5 linked regions of the Ovis aries genome follow. The protein of the gene in region 3 interacts with the protein of the main gene of each other region in a pairwise test. Links are inferred from orthologs where the notes say so. Each region holds a gene or a part of one and is shown on either strand. Other genes may lie near its edges. The genes, in order: EXOC7, NECAB2, SSC5D, SEC23IP and NUP62.

Region 1 (3,513 bases), on a different chromosome or scaffold from region 3:
TGGTCCACTGGGGCAGGGCTGTCCCTCCTCTGATGGGAGACAGGGGGGACATAGGCTGCCCGTCTCCCACGGCACACGCTCCCCTTTCTGAAGGTGGGGGGTGGCGGGGGGCAGCCAGCTTGGTCCTGCCACTGCTGGTCTGAGCGTGAAAGGGCTACCCGTGACAGAGAACTTTCTCCGAGTTCAAACGGGAGACAAGAAGGACAGAGACAGGATGGGGAGGGGGCAGGAAGCCTCCCGGGGGGCAGAGCCGCCGTCAGTCAGACAGGACTAGGCCAAGACCACAAAGGCTGCCCCTGAGCCAGCCAGCGGGGCTCAGTGACCCCAGGGACCTCAGTTCCCACCCCACCCCCCGCCCCCTGCCCCTCTCAGGCTTATGCCAGAGGCCGTCTGGGAGGTGGAGGCTCTGCCCTGCCATGGGAGTGGACACACAGTGGAGGAGGAGGGAACTGGAGAGGAACACGGGGTGATTACCTTCCAGAGGAATGAGGTTAGAGCCCCCCTTTTTCCCATCTAGACCATGCTGGGAATATTGTTTCAGAAGGTTCTGAGCCTTACGGATCGTCCCTGTCACCAGAGCCACACAGAGAGGAGACAAGAAGACCTAGGAAATGAGTGAGAAAACAGCAGCAGCCCTCCACCGGCCCCTCTCCCCCAGGCCCGCGCCCACCCCCAGCAGTGAGCACGCCCGGACAGAGGAATGGAGCCATTTTATTCTTTCAGGAGACTCCTGGTTCTGCCAGTGACCCTCATGTTCTGGGTCTGAGTTCATTTGAGGAAGTGCAGTGGGTGAAGGAGATGAGATGGGCAAAGATCCACCAGGAGAACCAAAAATTAACAAAGAAAACAACAGTACTGAGTGGCACTTAGATCATAGGCCCTGGGACAGAGGAGCAAGTCATGGAGCTCTAGAGCCCAGAAAGGGTGATCCAGGGGACACCTCGAGGCCCTCAGGTCCTCTCCCAAGGGCAGGCCGAGCTCTCTGGGAAGCTCTCCGGGCACGCTCAGTGCCAGAAGCGGCCAAGCAGCAGCCCACCAAAAGCAGGAGACCCAGGAGGTGGCGAAATGGGCCTGGGCTTCCAGGGACAGCAGTGGGAGGCTTGGAGATCCAGAGGCAGAGTGGCCCACACACCAGGGCAGGGACCCGAACCATCAGAGCTCTTGGGAATGACTCAAAAGCCGAGGAGAAGTTAACAGAGGCCACCACACAGAGAGCTGGAGCGGGAGGGCCACAGGAAAGGGGGCATGCTCTTGGCATGGGGGGAAAAAACCAACAGTTAGTATCACACGTGAGAACAATGACAACGCCGCAGTGCCCACAGCCTCTCAAGTCAGCTACCTCTACGGGAGCGAGAGAGCTCAGGGCAGAACACGTGGGGGAAATAAAACAGCACTCAAAACAGACGTGTGCAGCTGCCTCGTTAACAAAGCAGGGGGCAGGGCAGGCACCGTGAGGGTAACTCGGGTCCCTCTCCCCTGGGGACTCCTGGGTGCCCTCCCCAGCATCTCTGAACACAGGGAGGCTGCTTTGGGTCCTGGCAGCTCCCCAAAAGGCTGGGGGAGGCAGGACATTTCTCTCTGTGCGCACCAACCACAATTAGCTACTAACAGCCGAATTCAGGGCTCCGGTTCAGCATCTGTCTCGCCATGTTCTTCAGCGAGCGGCCCCACTAATGAGTGAATCGGTTTCCTGCCGCACGGACAAGCGGGAGCAGATGGGCCCACGCAGCCTTCAGGAGCCTCACCAGCACGTCCACGTGGATGTGGGCTGGGGACATTGATCTGGCAGCCACCAAGCCCATCAAGTGCCCAACTACCTCGGATGATGCCAGGGTCAGTGTTTCATTACCCACCGCACCGCCCAGCTTCGCTCAAGAGCTGGGAATCACATCCTGGGGTCCTGTCTCCCTAGTTTCTGACATCAGTTCTGAGCCCCTCCCAACCCAAGCTTCTGACAACTCTTGAAACCCCACAGAAACCAAAGGGACCCTCACAGTTACAGCCGTCCTTTTGGCAGGCTCGAAGTCAAGGCTGCTTTAGGTCCAGCAGGAGCACCGAGGTCAGACCCCGGCTCCCCTGCAGGGCCAGCAGTGCTCCTGGATGCAGTCTGGGTCCTGGGGTGCCCGTCGGAGAAGAGACAGAGGGGAGGAGAGCGCAGGCCTGCCGAGGCCCAAGAAGCCCCACAGCCTCACTGAGCTAAGGCGCAGAGACGGAAAGGCCCGTGTGGCAGGCGGCTGTGGCCATGCAGGCAGCCTTACTAGAGTCCCTGTTTGCGGCCAGTTCTCCCGGGGGGGTGGCCAGGACATCCACACTGGTGGGGGGAAGGGCCCCTGGCTTCCCTCCCGCCCTGCCCACTGGTGCCCTGCCTGCGGGCAGCCTCTGCTCTGCCGTGTCTCCAAATCCTGAACCAAGGCCTGAGGAGCAGCGGGTTTTCAGGGCAACTGTGAACAGGCAACCCTGCTCCCTGAGGGGCAGGGAAGGAAAGCGCTGTCACGAAGGACGGTCCCACCGGTGCCTCTGGGCACATGAGGCAACAGCAGCTGGACCAGGTGGGCTGAGGCGGGAACAGCCCCTGGCCTCACGTGCTCTCTCTCTCTCCCTGGGGTCTGCAGTGGTCCCTCACCCCGGAAGACCCCAGCCTCTCAAGGGCAACACCTCTCAGTGGCTAGACACAGCTAGGCTTGCCAAGCGGAAGATGGCACGCGGGAACACTGTTTATCCGGAGCACAGACCACGGGGCACACGATGACGGGAAGAAGGCCAGACAGTGAGCTGTTCGCCCAGGACACCTGCAGCCCAGGCCTCTCCCCCCTCAACAACCCTCCCCCGAGTCCCCATGGCCAGACACAAGCTTCGAGTGGAACCCAAAAGCCCGACTGTGTCCTTCGGCGAGGATGGCCTGAGATTTTTTTTTTCTTTCTGGATGGATGGACTGTGAAAGAGCACTCTCCCCTCTCTACTTCTTAACTATGCATCAGGTCAAGCAGCCTGGGCTTCCTGGAAGGTGAAGGCCACCGCGCCTGCCCCTGTCCCATTCCACAGTTTTGGTGGCGGCAGCAGGCCTGGCCTTTACACAAGACGACGGAGACAGGCCAAGGGCGCCCAGCGAGTGGCTGCCCCTGCACCCGTCACCTCACCTCTCCAGGCCTGTGACCCACTGCTCCAAGGATCCTTATACAGCCCCCAGACTCGCGAGAAAGGAGCTCACTGGACCAGGCCTTGCTGGGTGGGCAGACACCTGCTTTCTGTCCCGTGTACCTTGGTCAGGGGTACTGTGAGGACAAGCTCTAAAGGGGCTGACGCTGCTCACCCCAGGGTGGGCCTGGGCAACCCAGGTCCCAGGTGGCCCTCGGGATGGTTCCGAGGTGGGCCGGTGGGGGGGTGCTCACCTGGCCGCTTGACCGGCTTCTTGGTGGGTGTGTCTTTCCTCTTGTTGGGGATGGCAGGGGAGTAGGGGACCCCAGAGGAAGAGCTGCTCTTCCGGAAATGCTCCTTCAGGCCTTTGATGGAGCG
Region 2 (4,031 bases), about 53 Mb from region 3:
CAGTGTTTGGAGAAGGAAATGGCAACCCACTCCAGTATTCTTGCCTGGAGAATCCCATGAACGGAGGAGCTTGGTGGGCTACAGTCCACGGGTCGCAAAGAGTCGGACACGACTGAGAGACTTCACTTTCACTTTCACTTCCAGTATCTGGCTCCACCCACTTGGCTGTAAGCTCCAGGAGGCCAAGGCAAGCCCTCCTGTTTTCCCGATGTTCTTGGAACCCAGTGCGGCCACCAGGCCTAGCACCCAGCAGGGGCTCCTTTAATTCTCTGGTTCGGTGGGTGGGAGTCTGGAAGGATGGACGCAGGGAGTATAAGGGGAAGAGGGTGTTCCAGGGGTGGGGAACACTAGTTCTGGGCGTTGTTTAACTCGCGGGGGAGGTCTGAGGGGCGTGCACCCGGTGGAAGGGACGAGTGGGTACTTGCGGAGTGGAGAAGGCCCCAGTGCGTGGGCGCGCGTTCCTTGGGCTGCAGCCGGCAGAGGGCGCTACCGGCTCGCCGGACACAGCGCTCCGGCCCCGGCGGCGGCGCCACGGAGTGGAGGAGGGGGGATTCTTCTGGAGGGCGGGCAGGGGGAGACTTTCGGAATGGGGGCAGCCCCCAGGGATGCACCCCCGAAGCCAGACCCCCAAAACCCCGCGCCTGCCAGGCAGCCCCCTCCGTGGCCGGGCCGGGGTCTAGCTCCCCAGCCCCGCGGCCCACTGCCGGCAGCCCCCTGCCGCCGCGCCCGGCCGCCGGGGGCGGGGGCGGTGGCCCACGGGGCACGTGGCTCCGGGTCCGGGCGGGGCGGCGCCCACCCCCTCCCGTCCCCCAGCGCCGGCCCGTCCCCGCGTGGCCGCGGCCGCGGGGGCAGAGGGAGGGAGGGCGGGGCGCGGGCGGCGGCGGCGGGCGGCGCCGGGGAGGGGGTCGCGCGGGGGCGGGCCGCGGGCCGGGCGGGGGTCGGCGGGCTTCCGGGCGGCGGCGGCGGCGGGCGCGGCGCGATGTGCGAGCGGGCGGCGCGCCTGTGCAGGGCCGGCGCGCACAGGCTGCTCCGGGAGCCGCCGCCGCAGGGCCGGGCGCTGGGCGGGCTGCTGCGCTGGGTGGGCGCCAGGATGGGCGAGCCCCGGGCGCCGCTGGCCCCCGACGCCCCCAACACCCCCGTCGCGGACCCCGGCCCCTACCCGGGCCCCGCCTCGCCGCGCGGGGGCACCGCCGTCATCCTGGACGTGAGTACGCGCGGGCCGGGACCCGTTCTCCCCACCGGGCGACGCGGACGCCACGCTCCCGGGACCCCGCTGGGACCTGCAAGACCCCCTTCTGCTTGAGGGGCAGGGGTCCCCGGGCAGGGACGCTGGCCCGCACCCCGGGGGTCCAGAGCGGGATCCACCGGCTCCTCCTTGTGCAGAGCGCGGCCCCCAGCTCTTCGGCCCCCGGGCCGGTCTCCGTGCGGGTCCCGTCTCGTCCCCGGACCGGGACGACCCCTTTACCTCCCTCCCCTTCTCGGGATCTCCACATTCTCGGAGCCGGGACCCTGGAGCCCCTCGACCCGGCCACCGCCCCCTACTTCTGTCCTGGCCAAACCCTCATCTTTCTCCAGCCCGCGCTTCATCCTTCACCCAGCTCCTTCCCGGGACGCGAGTCCCAGACCGCCGTCGGCCCCTGCTCCTGCCCGCCCCACCGACCCCTGCCCCCCGTCCTTACTTTTCTAAGACTCTCCCCCCAACCCACCCCATCACACACACAATCCCTGGGTCCAGGGCCATTTTTCTTGTCCGAGCTTTGGACCTTAAGCCCTTGTATCCTCAACCCTTTTGCCTCAGGCACCACCTTTTTAAAAGCAAAGCCCCCTCCCCACCTGCCTTCCTCTCTCCTTTCAGTAGGACTGGAGCCATCCCCCATCCTCTCTGAGGACCACCACTCCATTCTGAGCCAGTCCTTGATCCCCTTCCCCCGCTCCCCCCTCCCTCTCCCTCTCCTCACCCCTCCCTCTCCCTTTCCTCACCCCTCCCCCTGCTCACCCCCTCCCCTTTTCACCCTCTCTCCTCCTCACCCCCACTCCGCACCCCTCCCCCACGTCCTCTGGAGCCCAAACCGCCCCACCTCACCCTCCCACCCACTCTCCTCTGTAGGAGGGAGCCTTCTGCAGGGTGGGGGGGCGTCCCCCGTGGGGTGCTCTGCCCACCCCAAGGGGCAGCATGGCAGTGGGGTGTGCCTGTCCTAGGGAGGGTCCTCCGAGGTGGGTGACACGGGGCTGGGGGTGCCATGTTTATGTATGGTGGGTGGGTTTCAGGGAGAGGTGTGTGTATCACATCCTGGTGAGAGGGGGACAGTGTGGGTTTCCTCTCGCCCCTCCACCCCCACCACGTTCCTGTTGGAGCCTCCATCGCTGGCTCTCAGCCGACAGGGCAGGGGGTGATCTGCCGCACGTGGCCATGGCTCCCAGGCTTCCCAGAACGTGCTCACACACAGCCCACTCGCACCTGCACAGGTGAGCCCTCTCAAAGCCCCAGTGAGTTCGCAGCTGAAAGCCCTTGCAGCGGACAGCTCTGTCCAGGCCCCCCCCCTTTTGCACAGGACAGGACGTGGACTCTGGAGTCCTCACGCCACGCTGCTGGCTCTGAGCCCCAGTCTCCTCATCTGTGAAATGGGGGTGATGAGCGAGTGCCAGGGCCACATCTCCTGTCAGGTCAGTCACTTTAACGCTCACCCCCGGCCCCGGCACCTGAAGGTGGGACTCCAGCCTCCTCGGGAACCTTGCAGTCAGGAGCAGGCAGTGTGCGGTGCACAAGCTGGGGTGCTGGCAGCTGCCCCCTTTTCTGCCCCAGCTGCTCCAGACCTGTGTCCCCTGCCCCAACTTGGGGTTCAGCTCAAGAAAGGGGGAATGTTTGAGAATATCTTTCCTGAGCTGCTGCTTCAGTTTGTCACAGCCCGGGTGCCTGACAATGGATGCCTGCCCTACTGCTTGGAGGGAGGGGCCCAGCTCCCGCTCTCCAAGGTGTGAGGGTCACACGCTGGGGGCGGCGTCTCCCCCTCTTCCTACCTTCAGCAAGGCTTGCGTGCACGCGTGCTAAGTCACTCAGAAGGGTCCGACTCTGCGACCCCATGGACTGTAGCCTGCCAGACTCCTTTGTCCATGGAATTCTCCAGGCCAGATACTGGAGTGGGTAGCCTTTCCCTTCTCCAGGGGATCTTCCTGACCCAAGGATCGAACCCAGGTCTCGCACATTGCAGGTGGATTCTTTACCATCTGAGCCACCAGGGCAGCCCCCAGCAAGGCTTACTAGGACTAAAAACACCAGGAGGAGCTATCTGGTTTCAGCTGCAGCTGGAGGGGACCAGGCTGCCCCTTCCCTCCCCGCCTCTCTTTCTGAGCTGCTTGCGGGCTGCTCCTACCCACTGACCACCCCCAAAAAACTAATCCCGCCGTGCACTGGCTGATCCTGTCGTCAGGCCTCGAGGTTTGCTTGGCAGATGCCTCTGTTCAGATTTAACCCACCCTCCCTGGAGAACACCAGGCCCTCGAGAGGTCCTAGTGGGGGTGTAAGGTGAGTGGCTGCCTCCCACGGACGGGAGTGGGGAGCACGCAGCCGCCTGTGGGTGCTGCACGTGGGCCAAAGGTTCTGGACACACACCCGTGCGGCGTGCTCTCGACCGCATGGCCAGCAGCGCCTGAGGAAGAGGGGAGGCTGTCTCCTCGAGGGGAGCTGGAGGGCCACTGCCTGAAACACCCTTCCACCCCCGGGTCTCCTCCCTCAGGAGGGAAAAGGGGCCCGGCTTCCGCAGGTCCACTGGGCTGGGGGTGTTGGAAGCCTGCCCCTCCCAGCCGACACTGACTCGACCTCTCTTCTCTGCAGATTTTCCGCCGTGCGGACAAAAACGGTGAGTCTTCCCACACCCCGCGAGGCTGTCCCCGTGTGAGGACCTGGCTCTTTCTGGTTGGGGGTGCAGGACGCTGCCCTGCGCCTGTTTCTCCATCCTACGAGGGACCCCTGTGGTTCCTACTGAGCAGGGGAGCCATGCGGCTTCAGCGGGCAGGTGTGGGCAGTGCGGTGA
Region 3 (4,267 bases):
TGCAGACCCTAGCAGGAGGAAAAGCAGCACTTAGTGAGCACCTGCTGTGTGCAGGCACTTCCACACCATCCTTACCCCCCCCCCCCCCCGCCAGGGCCCAGCAGCTGAGGCCCGCAGAGGGCAAGAGACCCTGCCACAGCCTGATGCCCATCCATAGTGTTTGAACTTCTTAGAGAGTTCAACCCGTCCAACCCCTGCCTCAGATTCTGTCTGCGCAGAGAAATCTTATCTGTCTGTCTGCCAAGCCTGTGTTGCTTGTGCTATGACATGTGGCAGGAGAGGAGGCCGAGCAAGTACGCCCCCCACTGGGGTTAGGACTTGGCAGGGGTACCCCAAACAGGGACGAGGGCCCCCCTCAGCCCCGGGGAGGTAGGGTGGGGGGCGATGCCCATGCTTGGAAGGGGTGAGGCTGCAGAGGCAGAGAGGGGCTGAGCAAAGCTTCTGCAGGGGAGTGTTGTCTGCCTGGAGAGAGCCCCGGGGAGGGGGTGGTGGGCACAGGGCTGCCTGCCCAGCCCCTCCCCAGGAAGGTGGGAGCCCAGAGGGGCGGCCAGACCCATCTGGTTTTTTACACCCGTTTGTTAATAAAGCCTGTAACCGCTGCTCGCCATCTCTCTCTGATGCCTTTTCCAGTCTGCCTCCACACCCACCATTTCTGTCTGGCCCCTCCTTCCCGAGGTTGACAGTAATTGTCGGGAGGGGGGAGTGTGCTGGACTGGGGGCAGGGGAGGCGATGAGCTCAGGCAGCCCAGCTCCCTGCCAGCCCTCTGACTCACGCTCCCCATTACCGAATTTTTTCCGCCTCACAGCTGCTTAGTGCAGAGAGAGAGAGAGAAAGAGTACGTTCCTGTGCGTGTGTGTGTGTGTTGTGTGTGTGTGTGTGTGTGTGTGCAGTCGTCCTCCCCCACCCAAGTCTTGACCCTTGGCCCTCTCGACCCCTGACCCCAGTTTTCTTGGGAGACACACAGAGGGCTGATGACTTCTGCCTGCAAATCCACCAGGGGGAATGGAGAAGGGAGTCTCTCTGTCTCCTTTCCCAGTCCAGGAAGTCCTTCCTGGTGTCTGCCTGCAAGCCCTCTTGCTGCACCAGGTCCCCAACCCGGCAGCTGATGTGAGCCCACCCTCAAAGCCCTCTGCTTCCGGCACACCACCCTGGCGGGACAGGAGAAGCAGCAGATGGGTGGGCGCCCCGCCCTCGCACCCTGTCAGGATCCTCCCCTGCAGCCTGCTGCCCCCCAAGCCTGAGTGCGGCACTTCTGGCCAGCCGGCTGTCTCCTGTGTGGGTGTCTGCAGTTGGACACCCTCCCTCCCGCCCTCCACCGCCCTCCTCCACAGGCCTCAGCCGCCGGCCAGCCCCCTCCCCGCCCCGCTCCTGTCCCCTGCTGCCTCCTCGGCAGCCTCTCTTCCTCCTGCAGAGCGTCCAGCCCCCGCCCGCTCCTCCCCGGGTCCAGGGCTCCTCTGGCAGGCGCTCCCCTCCCTCCTGCGTCGGCGGTCCCCTCCTCCTAGCTCCTGCTCCCGTCCACTTCCACCCTGTCCCCACCCTGACTCTGCAAACATGAGGGTCCTGGCCTGCCTCCTCGGTGAGTGACCCTTCCCCTCCTCCGGGACTCAGGGTCCCCGGGCCGGGCCCTCTGACCCCTGAGCTGACCCACTGCAGAGCCTCTGAGTTCCAGGGCCCCGTCCCTGTTGCTTGGTGGGGGGGATGTGGGGGAGCACAGGACATCTGGCTGCCTCTGACTGATCCTCCAGGGACCTGGCCTCAGGCACCCTGAGTCCCACCTTCTCAGGAGACCCCAGGACTTCCTCTCCCCTCCATGAGCCCTGACCCTGCAGAGGGGGTTCACCCATCATTCACCTTTAGCCAGGCCCCCAGTGGGGAGAGCCAAGGGCCTGGCCCCCTGCCCAGACCTGAGGCCTCCGGGCTCCACCCATCCCAAGGACCTGGGCCTCGGCCAGGCGCTGGGCCCAAGTCCTCCTTCCCGGCGGCGGGGTTTCTGGTTCAGAGGAGCGAGGACCTCACTGCCTCACCCCTCCAACCTCCCTTCCAGTGGCTTTGATGGGGACCCAGGCTGTTGGTAAGTGGCCCCAAACACGTCTCCCATCTGGGTGCGCTCAGCTCCAAGCCTTCCCCACGCCCGGCCTGGGCTCACCCTCCCTTGGACCCTGGCCACCCTCGTGTGCCCACGACCCCCACACCACTTCTGCAGGACCACACGGTCACCCAGCTTCCTGCTTCCTAAGGGGCTCCCGGTCATGCCCCTGCAGGACAGCCCCCAGCCCCTGCCCTGCCCGCCAGTCCCGGGGTCTCCAGGATGTCACAGCCTCTCCTCCGTCCCTGCAGAGCGGCTGCGTCTGGCTGATGGGCCCCATGGGTGTGCGGGCCGCCTGGAGGTGTGGCACGGTGGGCGCTGGGGCACCGTGTGCGACGACGGCTGGGACCTGCGGGACGCTGCTGTGGCCTGCCGGGAGCTGGGCTGCGGGGGTGCGCTGGCCGCCCCCGGGGGCGCCTTCTTCGGGGAGGGTGCGGGGCCCGTGTGGCTGAGTGAACTGGCCTGCCGGGGTGGGGAGCGGCAGCTGGGCCTCTGCTCCCACCGGGGCTGGAAGGCCCACATCTGCTCACACGAGGAGGATGCGGGGGTCGTCTGTGCAGGTAAGGGGTCCTCAACCTCCTCAACGCCCAGGGACCCTCAGCCCAGTAACTAACTCTGAGCATCCAGAAGTCCAGACACCCTACCCCTGCCTCACTGAGAGACTGCCCTCTCCATAGCACTGGGGTGTTAGACGGTGGGTGTTGGAAGAACATCCTCCAAACTCTTTGGAAGGAACTTTGAGATTGATAAAGCTGGCAGCTCTGTAAAGGACAACTATGAAGTTTATCATGAACTCACACGGGGAACTCAGACAGGATGGATCTTGCAGATGGTGAGCCAGAGTTATTTATTTGCACCTGTGCTTCCCCCCACCTAAAGAGGTGCAGGAAGACTTAAAGGGGCCAGAGCAGGTCTGCACAGACTGGAACGGGGGATTGTCCCTTCCCTCAGGGGGTCTCATGACTATTATTTCTCATGGGCCACTTATCAACTGTGTCAGCAAAAAGCATCTGTCTTCAGAGAGAGGAAAGCAAGGGTAAAAACTGATAGGGAACCTACTTGGCTTGGGTGAAACTCAGCCATGCCAGGCAGGGTGGGGTGGGGGCGACCCGGGCCTGAGACGGGCCCACAGGAGGGAGCGTGGCCTCCAGCAACAGGCTGCTGTCCCCAAGGCCAGCGTGGGACAGACTCCAGGGACCACGACGACCCACCTTCAGTCCTGGATGGGGACCCCTGGCCGGGACCGGCAGGGGAGCTGAGCGCCGGCTCTGAGGAGCCCCCAGTGACACCTGGTGAGCCCCTTCCTGTGCTCTGGCTCCTGCTTTGGCCGTGAGGGAGAAGGGACAGAGGCCTGACTCCTCCACCCTCCCCGGGCCCCCGGTGATGCCCCCTTCAGACCCTTGGGGACTCTCAGGACTGACCTACAGCCCCAGGTTCAGCTGCCAACCGCCCTCCCTACTGTCCCCCTCCTCACCTAGCCCCCCGCCCAGCCGGGACCCCCCAGAGTGGCTCCCGGAAGAAAAGCCCCCGGCTGCCCAAGCCGGCCAAATCCACCAGGGCCCCAGTGCTGACTGCCGGAGCCCCCCGCCAGGGTAAGTCCGAGGCAGGCCTTCCATCTGCAGCAACTCCAGAAGGGGTCAGGCCCTAGGCCCCCCAGACCAAACTGGGGACCCTCAGGTGCAGGGTAGGGGGGCACCATGTCCCCGGGGATTCAGCCAGGTCCAGGCTCCCTGCCTGGTCAGTAGACCACTCGTGGCAGGCCCCCAGGCCCCGTGCCCTGTCCAGACCCTGACTTTCTGCCACTGGCCGGCTGGCAGGCTGATCTCAGTCCCCTGACCGCACGGGGCCTCCGTTTTCCCAGACGGAAAACGAGAGTGTACCAGCCGCCTCCACTAGGCCCCTCACAGCTCCCCCTCCTGCCCGCTCCGCAGAACGGCTGCGCCTGGTCTCCGGCCCCCACGGGTGCGCCGGGCGCCTAGAGGTGTGGCATGGTGGGCGCTGGGGCACCGTGTGCGACGACGGCTGGGACCTGCGGGACGCTGCCGTGGCCTGCCGGGAGCTGGGCTGCGGGGGCGCCCTGGCCGCCCCTGGGGGGGCTCGGTTCGGCCCGGGCGCGGGCCCCGTGTGGATGGACGATGTGGGGTGCGGAGGCGGAGAGCAGGCCCTGAGAGACTGTCCCC
Region 4 (4,104 bases), on a different chromosome or scaffold from region 3:
CCACAAGGTCTTAAGTGAGGAAGGCCACTTTCCAAGTTCAAGTTACCTCCTGACAAGTCAGGTGTTCTGATCTTACACACTGATTCCCGGTTGGGTTTGCCTCCACCACTCCTGAGTGCAAAAGACATGCGGGGTGGGGCCAAAATGCCTAGTGAACGGCAACCAGACCTAAATTTTTCTTTGTGTACCCTACCCGAAAAGTGTCATTAACCATGACTGCAAGTGAAATTTCCTGAGCTTGCCTGCCACATGCTAAGCTCTTTCTATGCAGGAACGCATCTGAGTTCGTTCACCATTTCTTGCTAGCTCTGGCCCAAGAGGAGATGGGGAGACGAGACATGTTTTAAAGGTGTCCTAACGGAAAAAAATCTAAGTTATCACACGAAATCTTATCTCGAAAAAGGAGGATGTGTGTAACCCAGGAGTTACAGCCAACTTCTGCAGCGAGCGAGCAAGCACGCGAGCACTCCCCCCACACACCGGAAGTTTTGAAATGTCCTGCGGGCTTCCCATAGGCAAAGTGCTTTTCCCTTCAGCACATCTCTGCGGGTCCTCCCGAAAGGTTCGAGGACCCCCCAACCCCAGAGTCCGGCCGCACGCGGGGCTCAGGGTCCGCCCGCGGGGCCACGAAGGGGGAAGCGAGGCCGTCAATCACGGCCGGCAGCCGGCTCCTGGCGCCGTAACCTTGGTGGCTCGGGAGTCGCGAATCGGGCAGGTGGGAGGCACCTGCGGCCCGGGCCCGGGCAGCCGCGGCCCGGACTCTCCGGGCGGGAGGGGGTTGCCGAGCGCCGGCGGCGCAGGCCCGGCTGACCGTCTCGGCCGCTCGAGCCCTCGAGGCGGCCCCGCCTGGGCGCCGCGCGGCAGGGTCCGGGCCCCGGGGGCTCGGTGAACTCGGCGGCCCGCCCGGACCCCGCCCGCCCCCCGGGCGCCGCCACTCACCGAAGAAGCCCTGCACGATGCCCAGCGGGTGGCTGAGCCAATCCTCCCCACAGGGCATCTCGCCGACTGGCCGGAGCCGGCGCGGCCCGGGCGTCCCGCGCGCCTCTGCTCCTCGTCGGGGGCTCGGCCGCTCCTCGCCCGCGCCCTCCCACGCAGGGAAAGCCTCGCGGCGCGGGCCGCCTGGCCTCCCCGCGCCTCAGGGAACGGCGGCGGAGGCGGCGGCTGTGAGGCGCTGCCGGCCACGGGCAGGCGGCGCGTGCGGGCCCCCAGCCTCCACTTCGCACAATGGCGGGAAATAGGCGCCGCCGCCGCCGACCGCGCTGCCGGCGACCTGGGTGGAGCTCGTGCGGGGAGGGGCGGCGGGAGCGCGCAGCGCGGCCCCGCGGCGGGGAGGCGGGGCGGCCTTGCTCCGGGGAGAGGGGGTGGGGCTCGGCGGGGCGGGGCCGCGGCGGCAGGGCGGTCGCCATCTTGGAGACGGGCGAGGGGAAGGGCAGGGGTGGCCTCGCGAGCATGCCGCGTGGTTACTTGAGGGCTGCATATTGCTCGGTGTCCCTCTGCAGACTCCAAAGGAGAAACTCCCGATGTCTGGTTTATCTGTTTATAGTGGCGAGGCCTTGCGCAGGTCGGAGACCGCAACAGTCCAAGAGCACAAGCGCAAAGAGACCTCAAAGTTATCTCTGGGCAAAATTAGAAGGTAACGTTGCCTCTGGTGTCTGCCCACCTCGTCCCGCCTCTTAGTGGTTTTTTTTTTTTTTTTTTTTTGGCCAATGGCAACTCTTTTGTTTGGTTCCGTGCTAGAAACCCCCTGTAATGACTTTCCTCCACTGGATCAAGTCTTCCCTCGACTGGATCAAGACAGTGGTATCTGTACACAGAAAAGATCTGGTTAATAGTAACCTTTGAATGAGGAAATTTGGAAAATATCCAAGTTCTATAATGAAACAGCCCCTAGATCTGAAATATATCGGAAAAAACCCTCCCTCTCATAACCTGAAGTACAGCGTATTAACAGAAGGATGATCCGAATGCGATCATCTCCACTCCCTAAAAAGTGAGGAGCTGGAGAACTGAACTCGGATCTCAAGCCCTCCTTAGGGCAAAAGGGTTTATTTTGTATCTGTCACTGTGAACTAATTACATTCCTCTGAATCTGGTGGGCAAGGCTGGTTGAATACCCGGATGTGGAAACTGAAGCTATGGAGACCTGATCACGCAGAGTCGTCTGTACTATTTCGTACCATTTTACATAAGAAACTCTGGCATTCAGATATCTGTTCCTGGAACCAATTCCCTGCAATTGATACCAAGGGATGACTGTGATTGGCATATTATACTATACATCTGGCTCTTGTGAGTTTGGGTGAGCTGAGAAAACGGTTTCAAATCGTTGGCATTACTACTTTCATTCATTCATTTAGCTTAGAAGGGCTCGAGATTCCTGGTATTGAATAGAGAAATCTCCTATTTAGCTTTGTGACATACAATCTTTTAAATTATAATAATTTCAATTTGCTGTATATGAAATTGCAGCTGGACACCAATTCAGCAGTGGCTAAGAACACTTCAGCTTTTGGTTTCTCCCTCTGTAGTCAGTGATTTGTAGACAATTGTTCAGATTTAACTTTAAGAGACACTGTGATCCTACTGAAATAATGTGAATAATTTCACCCAAGATGTTTTGACACTACTAATGAGTGGTTATGAAAACTTAAAAGGCCAAGGGAAGGTCCATAAGAGTATTTCTCTATGGCAAGATTTTTTTTCCCACTGCTGGCAATCACACTTCCCCCACTCTCAAGTCTGTATTTTTAAGAAAGGCATTAAGGACTTCTGTGATGGTCCAATGGTTAAGAATTTGTTTTCCAATGCAGGGGACCCAAGTTGATCCTTCGTGGGAAACTAAAATTCCACATGCTGAGGGGCAACTAAGCTGGTGGGCTACAACTACTGAGCCCACGCACCCTAGAGCCTGTGTTCCACAAGAGAAGCCCCCCTGGACTGCAACAAAGACCCACTGCCTTCATGTTATGTCCAGTTCAGTGAGAGACTTATTACTGAATAATTATCCATTTACAACCATGATAGGTACCAGGAAAGAAAAAGTGAAGTTCTATAAAAGGATTGAATAGCACCATCTAGTCTAGTGAGGGAGGGTTTTGGGGAAAGGATCCTTCAGGGGTTTCCTGAAAATGTGACATTTTTCACTGGGACTTGAAAGATAAGTAAGAGTTAGCTAGGTGAAAAGCGTGAGGGAAAGTTATTCCAAGTCTTAAGGCAAGGAAAACAAAAACTTGAATAGAAAATTAAGAGTCACAATTTATGTCAGGACAAAGCTCTCAAGAGTATTTAACAGCATAATAATGTTAAATTAGAATATTTATCTAAGCAACATTATAATTTAACTTTAGGAAGCTAAGGGTATGAGGATGTATAGGATTCATATATGTGATAGGATAAAGAAGATTTAAACCTCATCTTAAACCTGGGAAGTCAACACACAATTCAAAGGAGAAAAAAAGGAAAACTCAGAAGTGACAATATAATATTAATTTTAAAATACAGAGATACTGAAACAATCAGCGGAAAGAATTGAATGTCGTTGCCTCCAGGATGGGGTAAAAGTTTCTTGTAAACATTTGCTTATTTTCTGTATACTTAGCATGAATTCAACCTCAGCTGCACTGAAATTTCCACTAGATTATGAGAACTTTGAAGCAGTGATTTTGGTATTTTTATGCTGTATTGTTCCCAAGTACCTAGAACAGTGTCTGACGTCATAGATGTGCAATAAATAGTTGCTGAATGGATAATGCATACTTTCCATTAAGTGCCTAAATCTCCTTTCTAAATAGGCACATTGAGTATGTTTTAATTAATTAATTATAATTTTGGCTGCTCTGGGTCTTCATTGTGGCAAGCGGGGGCTCCTCTCTCGTTGAGGTGGGTGGGCTTATTGTGGTGGCTTCTCTTGTGGTAGAGCGCAGGCTCTAGTGTGTGCAGGGTCAGTGATTGTGGGCTTAGCTGCCCCGTGGCATATGGAATCTTCCTGGAACAGGTATCAAACCTATGTCCCCTGCATTGGCAAGCGAATTCTTCACCACTTCCCCAGGGAAGTCACATCAGATATTTTTCATACATTATTTTCCCAAAGTCCTTTGTCCTATT
Region 5 (2,696 bases), about 6.8 Mb from region 3:
CGGGGGCAGCACGCTCAGCAGTGCCGTCTCCAGCGCCAGCACCAGCACCTCCGCCCAGGGCGCGGCACCCGGCGGCTTTGTGTTTGGCTCCACCGCAGCATCTGCCGCCCCGCCCACCACATCGACTTCCGGGGGCTTCTCGTTCACGGCTGGGAGCGCATCCCAGACTGGGACCTCTGGCTTCAACATAGGCTCCATGGGGGGCCCGGCCCAGTCCCCAGCCCTCAGCGGGCTGCCCTTCACTGCGGCCGCTCCAGCGGCCACTGGAGCAGGAGCCGCACAGCCAGCCGCGCCCACTCCCGCCGCCACCACCACCACCGCCAGCGCCGGGCCCTCGCTCTTCACCTCGCTGGCTACTGCTCCCACGTCGTCCGCCGCCACCGGGCTCTCCCTTGGCACCCCAGCGACCACCACGGGGACAGCAGGAGCGGGGACACTGGGCTTCAGCCTGAAGGCCCCTGGAGCAGCTTCCACCACCTCCACGGCGACAACCACCACCACCACCACCACCACCACCACCACCACCAGCACCAGCACCACTGGCTTCTCCCTGAACATAAAGCCCCTGACTCCGGCCGGGATCCCCAGCAACACAGCGGCCTCCGGGAGTGCGCCCAGCGGTCCCAGCGTGGCTGCCGGGGGATCCGGCAGCGCTGCGCTGACCTACGCCCAGCTGGAGAGTCTCATCAACAAGTGGAGCCTGGAGCTGGAAGACCAGGAACGGCACTTCCTGCAGCAGGCCACGCAGGTCAACGCCTGGGACCGCACGCTGATCGAGAACGGCGAGAGGATCACCAGCCTCCACCGCGAGGTGGAGAAGGTGAAGCTGGACCAGAAGCGGCTGGACCAGGAGCTCGACTTCATCCTGTCGCAGCAGAAGGAGCTGGAGGACCTGCTGAGCCCGCTGGAGGAGTCGGTCAAGGAGCAGAGCGGCACGGTGCACCTGCAGCACGCAGACGAGGAGCGCGAGAAGACCTACAAGCTGGCCGAGAACATCGACGCGCAGCTCAAGCGCATGGCCCAGGACCTCAAGGACATCATCGAGCACTTGAACACATCGGGGGGCCCGGCCGACACCAGCGACCCGCTGCAGCAGATCTGCAAGATCCTCAACGCGCACATGGACTCGCTGCAGTGGATCGACCAGAGCTCGGCGCTGCTGCAGAGGAAGGTGGAGGAGGTGACCAAGGTGTGCGAGGGCCGGCGCAAGGAGCAGGAGCGCAGCTGCCGCATCGCCTTCGACTGAGCCCGGGCGGGGCTTACTGCCTCGTGGTTGGAGTGCGGGGAAATACGTGTTTGTGTGTTTCTGGCTTTCAAACAGTTGTGCTGTTAATAGAACTGTTCTCTGGTTTGACTTTTTGTCTTAGTGAATAGAAAGTATTCTCAGTGCTCTGGGCCAGGCTGCAGCCTCGTGGGTATGCTTTCTCCATGTCCTAGACCCTTTCCACCTGCTACAACCACCCGCCTCCAGTTGTGCTGGAGGAGGGCTGAGCCACCAGAGAGCCGCCTGTCTCCCAGCCGAGACGCTAGGCCGCCACTCTGCCCGGCAGAGTCAGAGATGCGGGGAGGAGAGCTCCAGCCTCACTGAGCCAGCCGCCTGGAGTGAGTGAGCAGTGCAGAGAAGTGGCTTGTGGGTGGAGCGGACAGTGGGACGTTCTCAGAGGAGGAGAGACAGGTCAGAAGAGAAGAGCAGTCTCCCCTCGCCTGGCTGACACACCGCGTCGGCCACCCTAAAGCCAGGTCGGTGCTGTCCCGTGGGCCCACTCCACGCTGAGCTTGCGAGCGCGCCTTTGGTAACACTGGCCACACAAGACTGCAGACTCCTCGCTTCTCAGCCTCACCGAAAGGTTGTGCACCCTGTGGGCAGGGCTTGTTTCCTGTCCCCCTTGTGTGCTCAGCACAGCAGTCCCTGTCACAGCATCAAACAGATGAAGAGTAGAGATGAGACCGGCATAAAACGCTCGCCCGCCGAATGAATGCCTGTGGAGGTGGCCAGGGTGCCAGGGGCAGCCACAGACTTGATTCTGCACCTCCCGGAGTCGAGACAAACCTGGCTGGTTCCAATGAGATCCAGTGTCCAGGGCCAGCCGTGTCCCAGGGGTCTTCTGTGTTTGTCTTTACACTCTGCTGTACTCTGAAATACCTATAGCTGTATGTTGCTTCCCTAAATAAAATGTATTGTGGAATTTAAAAGCTGCTGTTTCTGTGGATAACTTAGAAGGAGAAGGTTGGGAAAAGAGTAGGTTCCAGGTCATGCTTGTGGGGGAAGGCGCTCAGCTCTTGCTCGTGGCACAGGGCAGGAAGTCTGCCCTCTGGCCTCCCTTGGCTCGCGCACACTGAGCTGTGTTTTGGCTCTGGAGTGCCCAGGGCTTATTCCTGCACATACATGGTCCACTTTGCCAAAGTCATGACCATGAGTCATTTCCTCAGGTCATCTTGGACTTCTAGAGACCACTGTCTCATCCAAGCGGAAGCCGCGGAAGAGAGGGGGGAACAAACCAGAGGCGGGAGACCCCAGCAACCCCAGTTGCTTCTCCAAAGGCTCTACCCCCTGCGACAGTGGCCCTCTGTAGTCTGGGAGCCGTGACCCCATCCGGTACCCGTATCCCACCCCCTTGAGTCCCCTTAGGAAGTAGGAAGTAGTATTTTACCTACATGTATTCACTCAGCATCCATCTTTGGAGCACTCGCTACAC

The links.
Region 1: the proteins of SSC5D (region 3) and EXOC7 interact in binary tests that used the Homo sapiens proteins (3 or more experiments, as listed by UniProt). The two-hybrid records come from large-scale screens. The link is inferred for Ovis aries from reciprocal best matches to the Homo sapiens genes SSC5D and EXOC7.
Region 2: the proteins of SSC5D (region 3) and NECAB2 interact in binary tests that used the Homo sapiens proteins (3 or more experiments, as listed by UniProt). The two-hybrid records come from large-scale screens. The link is inferred for Ovis aries from reciprocal best matches to the Homo sapiens genes SSC5D and NECAB2.
Region 4: the proteins of SSC5D (region 3) and SEC23IP interact in binary tests that used the Homo sapiens proteins (3 or more experiments, as listed by UniProt). The two-hybrid records come from large-scale screens. The link is inferred for Ovis aries from reciprocal best matches to the Homo sapiens genes SSC5D and SEC23IP.
Region 5: the proteins of SSC5D (region 3) and NUP62 interact in binary tests that used the Homo sapiens proteins (3 or more experiments, as listed by UniProt). The two-hybrid records come from large-scale screens. The link is inferred for Ovis aries from reciprocal best matches to the Homo sapiens genes SSC5D and NUP62.

Annotation. Positions count from the first base shown.
Region 1 is NC_056064.1:54,912,905-54,916,417, reverse strand, and holds part of EXOC7 (exocyst complex component 7), read right to left. Parts: coding exon 3,390-3,513; intron 568-3,389; coding exon 475-567; intron 1-474. UniProt on the Homo sapiens protein: Component of the exocyst complex involved in the docking of exocytic vesicles with fusion sites on the plasma membrane.
Region 2 is NC_056067.1:9,830,570-9,834,600, forward strand, and holds the start of NECAB2 (N-terminal EF-hand calcium-binding protein 2), read left to right. Parts: upstream 1-1,228; 5' UTR 1,229-2,173; coding exon 2,174-2,466; intron 2,467-2,546; exon of another isoform or gene 2,547-2,552; coding exon 2,553-2,664; exon of another isoform or gene 2,665-3,449; coding exon of another isoform or gene 3,450-3,523; intron 3,524-3,832; coding exon 3,833-3,857; intron 3,858-4,031. UniProt on the Homo sapiens protein: May act as a signaling scaffold protein that senses intracellular calcium.
Region 3 is NC_056067.1:62,800,932-62,805,198, reverse strand, and holds the start of SSC5D (soluble scavenger receptor cysteine-rich domain-containing protein SSC5D), read left to right. Parts: upstream 1-1,460; 5' UTR 1,461-1,552; coding exon 1,553-1,577; intron 1,578-2,045; coding exon 2,046-2,072; intron 2,073-2,338; coding exon 2,339-2,647; exon of another isoform or gene 2,648-2,903; coding exon of another isoform or gene 2,904-2,919; intron 2,920-3,259; coding exon 3,260-3,379; intron 3,380-3,565; coding exon 3,566-3,679; intron 3,680-4,018; coding exon 4,019-4,267.
Region 4 is NC_056075.1:39,501,370-39,505,473, forward strand, and holds the start of SEC23IP (SEC23-interacting protein), read left to right. Parts: upstream 1-1,293; 5' UTR 1,294-1,449; coding exon 1,450-1,633; intron 1,634-4,104. Other genes in the region: MCMBP (mini-chromosome maintenance complex-binding protein), read right to left, coding at 940-997. UniProt on the Homo sapiens protein: Plays a role in the organization of endoplasmic reticulum exit sites. Specifically binds to phosphatidylinositol 3-phosphate (PI(3)P), phosphatidylinositol 4-phosphate (PI(4)P) and phosphatidylinositol 5-phosphate (PI(5)P).
Region 5 is NC_056067.1:55,979,963-55,982,658, reverse strand, and holds the end of NUP62 (nuclear pore glycoprotein p62), read left to right. Parts: coding exon 1-1,246; 3' UTR 1,247-2,193; downstream 2,194-2,696. UniProt on the Homo sapiens protein: Essential component of the nuclear pore complex. The N-terminal is probably involved in nucleocytoplasmic transport.